Daphnia pulex: one gene and its partner. The protein of the gene in region 1 interacts with the protein of each later gene in a pairwise test. Links are inferred from orthologs where the notes say so. Each region holds a gene or a part of one and is shown on either strand. Other genes may lie near its edges.

Region 1 (4,065 bases):
AGTCATAAAGAGGTCAAAGAGGAACGACTCGCCGGCCGTGTAAGTGAAATCAGGAATGTTGCGTAAGAAATGGGCCACCGTGTTGGGCGACTGATGGCCACTCACCACACCCGCAACTTCTTGCATGACTCCCTGGAGCAAACTACTAAACAAGGCGTTGGTTAACACTGGATTAGGGCTGCTGGATCCATCTCCACCACTCGTTCCACCTGCTACTACCCCGCCTGATAGTACACCGCTATTGGCCGTCACCTGAATTTCCATTTAATGACCAATCATTATCAATGTTTTCCTCTCGCAATTTTCAATGCCGCAATTACCTGACGAAACATTTCGTTCATAAATTCGTCGACGGAGGCCGGAACGGCTGTCGGTTGATTTCCAGGGCCTGGTGGACGGGTTTGATTGAGACCGGGAAAAGCTTGTGCCGCCGACGTGGAAGTGACAACCACTGGGCGTGGTCTGGCTCGCTCAGTGTCGGGTCTGGATGAAGACGAGCGGGTAACATGTCGAGAATGACACGGTAAAAAGTCGTCAAATTCGCCCAAAGATGTTGGTGATTGCCCACGAGACGCTTGTTGATCTTCCTGTTGATTGTTGTTCGAGCGAACTTCCATAAAGAGCGACATTGGATGCATTTGACCACCTAAATTGACAGGGGTCCAGCCTCCTTGACTCGCCATGGCTAAAGGCAAACGTCCAAACGGGTGCGGTCCTCCCCTGACCAGCATTTCAGGGTGCAGCATTTGGACTGAGGCTCTTGGAGCTGGGGGATTCTGCGCCGATGCATTAGCTACACCCGTTCCGGTCGTTCCAGCAGCCCGCCAACCATGAAATGTCGGATTTGTAGTTGGAGGAACTGATGGATTGGCAGCAGTAGCTGCAGTGGGTGGGCGGGTAACGTGTCGGATGAACTCATGAGGAGATATTCTTGTGGGCAATCGCGGAGGAGCTTGCGCTGGTTGCGGTTGAGGAGCTGTAGCGGCCTCAGGAGCTGCTGGGTTAGCCTGTGTCTGAGGAGCTCGGTGGGTATGTGTAGTCTCGACGCTGATTGAAGCGTGAATGGGTATGGTCGATGAAAGAACTTGTTGGTAGACGTAGGGTCTAGCACGGACTTCACGAGGAGGGGGAGTTCCAAAGTCAACCATTAAATCGCTCATGGCGTGAAAAGCGTGGGCCAAAAAGTGCAATCCTTCGGCTACCTTTTGGATCAAAAATCAATTGAAAAACATGGAAAGGAAAATATAATATGATTTTACTGAACCTGGTTGTAGGTGTGTTGTGCTTGCCGGTATTCAGGTGATGTGCTGTCCAATACGGGATCATCTCTGAGGAGCTGACGGACGGTTGTCAAATGAGGGCGAAGATCCTGCTGGATCCGTTCCATATCTTCGATGACATCGGCAAAGACAGACACTCGAGGATTTCGAATTTGCTGTTGTCGAGGTTGTTGGTCACCAGGAGGAGCTGCAGCTGACGACGGAGCTGACGAAGGAGCCGACGAAGGAGTTGCAGATGGGGTGGTTGAAGGAGGAGTTGTTGAAGGGGGTGTTGTTGAAGTCGGAGCTGTAGGACTTACGCGTTCGCTCGCGCCACTGCCACTCTCTGGTGGATTATTTGGTTGAGGCCCTTGCACCCGAAAACCAAACGATCCTTGAACTGCTGGTGATCCATTAGGTCCTTGCAACACGGCAATATTGTTTGCCCTGATAAAAAGAAACGTAACTAACATTTTTAGTTTTTTAGTTTGGAGGTTTGTCATTACCCCAAGGATTGAACAGTTGAAAATGCAGCAGCTATAGCAGTGGCAGCCTGTGCTTGAACCATTTGTATGGATGAGTAGGGTCCCTCAGCAGTATTATCCATTGTAAAGAGTGAACCAGTGCTGGGAACTGAACTGATCCTTCCCAAACTCTGTGAGGCATCCTCCAGCATGTGTCTGGCTGTATTCAAACGCAACAGAGAACTACTTCCGGCTGGAGCTGGTACTGAACCTTCATTTGATCGTAAACATTGTTATTGAGATTTCTACTTTTAATAATGATGAGAAATTTACCAAATGAATGATTGGCACCATTTTGAAACCCTCTGTCTAGGTGGTAGTGAATGTTTCCTGGTCTAGATCCTTGAGTTCTTGGTGGTCCTGAAGGAGGATTACCAACTGTTGGAGGTGCTCTCTGGACCAAGTGAATGACTTTTCCACTCAGGTCTGTAAAACACAAAAACATTTACATGCCAATCATTTGTTTTGAGCTAGGAAAGAGTATTTTCAATTTACCATATTCACTGAGCTTTTTGTCATCTTGAAGAACTCTGCCACAGTAAATCAAACGCTGAGTCTCTGCTGGTGTTCCTACATCCCCAGCAATGTGTTCTTTAAGTTCCTTGACTGTGAGCTGCAAAACAGAAATCCAGTTAGTTTCCCCTATCTAAAACTCACGAGTCGTTTCTTTTAATGGTCTTACCTCCTCTGAAACTGTGAATTTATGATTACGCGAATCGAGGGTTTTGACGGTAACTTCAATATTTGCCATTTTTGTTTAGCTTTCACCACCTCGAGTTCCAACCTCGCTGTAGTTTGGTGACGATACAGACACACTAATAATAATTATTCGGTTTCAGTATTTTTTATTTTACCGATCTAACCGGACGGCTCTGAACCGACGTCAGTTGTGTAATGGGTGTCGAAATGTAAATCTCTAACGTGGAAAACTGGAAATCGGGCCTGTAATAATACACGATAACAAATAGAGGCGCAACTGTCTCCACATCGAATCGACACGACACGACACAGCCGACAATTCATAGGCTTACGAACCAAGTTGTGTTACAACGCCACCTATTTCTCTTGGTTTTAAACCGTAAAAGAGGAATTCACTTCAATTTCATGATAATTTGTACATTTTACGAACAAGATTTTATCTAATTTTACACGTTATATTTATCAATGACAAATTCAAGGAAAAAATTATTTTATGAAAATCAATTCCTGGAATGAGCACCATCTTTTGGTGGTTTTCGATAGTCGAGGCAAGACAGGTGTAGACGAAATCCAATGGCGAGTTAAATCTAAAAAAGTGAGCGAAGCAGTTCAAAAGTCAGAACACAACAACAATGAATGCACTTGATGTTAACGAAGCCAGGAAACGGTTGGTGGATGTTTTGGGAGATTCTTCTAAGAAGTAAATAAATCAGATTTGATATTTGTGGTGGTATATCTCTAATATCATGTTTTATTTAGTTATTTTGCCCACCTGAAATCGTGGTTTTGTATGAGGGTAAGAAATGTTTCTTTTATACTATCCATTCAGTCATAACTGACATTCTCTCTATTTAGACAAGCAAAGAAGAGTTTGATCGCCAAGCCAGATTGTACCTGAAAGTAGACCAAGTTCATCTTCACAATGAGTTTCTTTTGGCCATTGTTACAAAATGTCAAAGCTTGTGCCAGCCTTCAACCTATGTCTATCATGGTGTGAAGCAAAAGCCAATTGTTGTCACTGAAGTGAACAAAATCAGACCACATACCATTCCTCTACAGAAACGTAATTCTGTTGAAATCAAACCGATCACTGTGACAAGACAAGTTTACCCAAAGAACAAGCCTCTCACTGTCAACTTTGATGTAATATGTCTTAATTATTGGAATTTTCATTGGAGACCTTGATTAACATAATTCTTTTCTTATCTAGAATCGATTCCAACCAGTGAATCCAGTTTCTCTGTTACCATTTTCTGCTCCTTGCACTGTAGAGAAACCACAGCTTCGTTACTGCAGCCAGGATCTAATTTTACCTGACGCTGGACTCGTTCACGGTCGAATGCTAGTAGCAGCTTGGGATGCTGGTTTGGATCATGGTTGTGAAGACAAAGCCATCAAACTGATACTGGCAGCTACCAAGCAATTTCTTAAAGAACTGATAATTGCTATCATAACAAACCGGAAAGGGTACCGCCTTCGAGAGAACAAAGTCATCTATTCGGTTGGCCAACCTACAATTAATCCGTGGCTACACAATTCATGGTCCATCCAAGACAGTACCAGTAACAGGTAAATATTTATTG
Region 2 (3,277 bases), on another chromosome or scaffold:
AGGGCTGTAGCTGTAGGCCTAAACGAAAAAGAAATTGGAAGCTAATTGTCCTTATTCCATTGAACTGCATTAAGTCTGTCTTTATGCAGATGCTTTAAGTTATCTTATTTATTTTTTCTGACATTTACTAATCAAACCTATAGAAAATATATTTTTAGAATTCTTCGTTTTTATTCCACATGCAAACGACGACAGTTATTGGTTGCATTCCATTATTGGGTGGCTACATCCTGTCTCATTATTTTTTAAAGGTATTTGCAAAAAAAACTGTATACTAAGAAAACCATAATATGATATGAGTCCGCTGCTCAGCGAATATAACGCTATTCATTTGTACGACCCTTAAAAAAGACCCCCAAGATTGCCTCCCCTACAGTTTTTCTGGAGAATTTCAAATCCGATGAGAAATGTCAAATTTATGCGGTGCCGAGCTATATCCTTGTGTGGCATACAACTTAAACCGGGAATTATGGCTGTCGCAGAATGAAACAAGAAGTAGATCGTAGTGACACAGCGATTTTTTTTTTCAATAAAAAAAAAAAAATTGTAAAAATTTACATGCACGAAATGCATCGAAGAACTTTAAAACCCTCTGAGGCCATTGTACACTTTGTTGATTGAATCTTGCGACAGCAATTGCCTGAGCTTTTCCTTGACCTCAGTTGAGAGTTCGTCTTTCGGGAACTGCACGTCAAATGTTACGTAGAGCATGCCGAAAAGATTGTTGTTCTCGTAATTTGGCATTCCTTCACCCTTCTTACGAATGCGAGCACCTGGCCAAGTCACTTTGTCACGGACGATATGTACTTTATGTCCATCCAAGTGTTCAATATCTAATTCAAAACCTAAAACAGAATAGACCGTTATTTATCAAGATTTAAAACATTATTCGTTGCTGCGCTGCAACTTACCGGCCAAGGCATCCGCTAAAGAGATGGTAACATTGGTATACAAATCATCTCCTCGGCGTTCAAAAGTGGAATGTGGAGCTGTTTGAATTCGTAGACGGAGGTCACCTGGCTCTCCATCAGTGTGTGGTTCACCTTCGGCAGTAAATCTCTGCTCCAAACCGTCCGTCATTCCTTGCTCGATTTCGACTTCGAGAACTCGTTCTTCATTGACAAGCCTGTTTCATACAAACATCATGAATAATAAGTTGCTATTCGTTGTTAAGTTTGATTTCTCCATTACTTGACATTGGGGCACTCATCACAGACAGCTTGCTGCATCATTTGGAACCTTCCTGGACCTAATTGTCGGGTTACCATTTCTTGCCTGCAGTTGCACTTTCTAGTACCTTTTGCAGGTTTTAGAACAGGTTTGTTGTGTGTTATCTAAAGAATGTAAAATATATGTTTAAAATCACTTTTCTTCTTTACTTTTTAATGAAAGCATTACCTCAACAAAGTTTCCAGAGTAAAGTTCTTCGAGAGAAACAAAAAGATCCATCACAATATCTGCTCCTTTTGCAACCTCCCTTTGACCCTGGTTACCATTACCCCCAAATCCAAACCCAAAATCACCAAAAAAACTGGCGAACGGATCCATTCCACCCCCACCTGCACCTTCCTTTGAAACACACTCTTCACCACAGCGATCATAAAGTTCTCTCTTCTCTGGATCGGAAAGAGTCTCATAGGCTGCTCCAAGGTCTTGAAACTGGGCACTGGCTTTTTCAGGGTCTTCTTTGTTTCTGTCAGGATGAAGTTCTTTTGCTAATTTCCTGTATGCTTTCTTGATTTGGTTAGTGTTTGCTGATTTTTGTATTCCCAAGATTTTATAAAAATCTCGTCTGTAAAAACGAAGAAAAAATGCTCACGTTAGAAAATCGTCACAAGTTAATGCCGGTTACAAAAGTAAATTGGATTCGCTACCTACCCTGCTAAAACGGTTCCCAGTCCAAGGCAAATAAATAACAATAACACTTTCAAGTGCATTTTGAAAAAAAAAGTTTTAATTTGATTATAAGTTAGAAGCAGTGTCCACGAATTAACAGCCTAGGTTAGACCACTACCACAATTAACAACAGCAAATATTACACTTGTTCAGAATGTATCAACGCGCCAGAAAATAGGAAAGGACGTCTGCAGAATACTGGATTCAATGTGGGAAAAGCTCATTGGTCGGTGGGGTTTGGTGACGTATCGTAACTATAGACGCCACAGGGTGTTTTGAAATGGTATGCATGTCGTCATGTGTAGCGTTGGGGAAACATCATAAACACTGCACTCCATGTATATTTTCCCTATAGTCCAAAGTTCATGTTCTCGAATTGCCCATTTCGTGTGAGCGCCTCTAGCGAGTGTGTCAAAATTTCCCGATAGGGATTCTATCGCCAAAGACCTGTTTCCTGACCCAACCCAACCCAACCCACACCAACAGATGGCGTTGTTCCTCTCAGTGAGATAGGAAAGTTGTTTATTTCATTAATGTTTTATACGTTTTTTTTCTTAGAGTTAAACAATTAGGAAATTATGATCATCTTGTGCAAGACAAGGTTTTACATGGAGCCGTCGCATTTAGATTTTTATATTGCGACGAAATCATAATTATATACTCGAATTTGTGTTTTCGTGTTTTTCTAAACTGCCGTTAGATGGTTCTGACGCATTGCTATAAGGCCGTGCTATATAAACACAGCCTATTATCTAGTCAACTCGGTCTACTGTTTTCCATTTGCAGTCTTCATTCGAAAGTGAAGTAATGGTATTCTCTTCCACATCAACCAGCGGCCATCAATGGCTCAGGTAAAATTAATTAACTAATCAATTCCATTCAATACCACAAAATTGTTAAAGAAAAGGGGAACTGTTCTTGAAGACTGCCTAAGTATTCTCTTTGATCGCATTTGTTTTTAACCACTACAAGTCTGTTGTTGAATGCTGTTTGATTATCGATAGTGTTTTGTGTTGCAGAATAAAATTACAGGAATGACCAACAACAGTGAAGAACAACAGACCTCATCTTCCACCAAGGAGACCATCATAGAGGTGATAATTCAGCCACCAACTACAGAGGCCAAGGTTGAATCTGATGCTCCCCCCGCTGTGATCACCACTCAGCCAGCACAGCCAATGCCTGAACACGATGACAGCATTGCTGTGGTCATGTGGGAAGCCACCGTTTCAATACCACATTGGTTAAAGAAAAGGGGAACTGTTCTTGAAGACTGCCTAAGTATTCTCTTTGCTCGCATTTTGTTTTTAACCACTACACTGTTGTTGAATGCTGTTTGATTATCGATAGTGTTTTGTGTTGCAGAATCAAATTACAGAAA

The links.
Region 2: the proteins of large proline-rich protein BAG6-like (region 1) and dnaJ homolog shv-like interact in a two-hybrid assay, tested with the Homo sapiens proteins (2 studies listed by BioGRID and IntAct). The link is inferred for Daphnia pulex from reciprocal best matches to the Homo sapiens genes BAG6 and DNAJB11.

What each region holds. Positions count from the first base shown.
Region 1 is NC_060023.1:11,638,803-11,642,867, forward strand, and holds the start of large proline-rich protein BAG6-like, read right to left. Parts: upstream 2,801-4,065; 5' UTR 2,535-2,800; coding exon 2,466-2,534; intron 2,397-2,465; coding exon 2,279-2,396; intron 2,210-2,278; coding exon 2,057-2,209; intron 1,995-2,056; coding exon 1,766-1,994; intron 1,707-1,765; coding exon 1,265-1,706; intron 1,203-1,264; coding exon 321-1,202; intron 253-320; coding exon 1-252. Other genes in the region: transcriptional adapter 1-like, read left to right, coding at 3,115-3,182, 3,242-3,278, 3,338-3,625, 3,693-4,051. UniProt on the Homo sapiens protein: ATP-independent molecular chaperone preventing the aggregation of misfolded and hydrophobic patches-containing proteins.
Region 2 is NC_060017.1:5,991,590-5,994,866, reverse strand, and holds dnaJ homolog shv-like, read right to left. Parts: upstream 2,117-3,277; 5' UTR 1,938-2,116; coding exon 1,879-1,937; intron 1,793-1,878; coding exon 1,399-1,792; intron 1,335-1,398; coding exon 1,192-1,334; intron 1,127-1,191; coding exon 912-1,126; intron 846-911; coding exon 583-845; 3' UTR 501-582; downstream 1-500. Other genes in the region: maternal protein exuperantia-like, read left to right, coding at 2,739-2,747, 2,916-3,104. UniProt on the Homo sapiens protein: As a co-chaperone for HSPA5 it is required for proper folding, trafficking or degradation of proteins.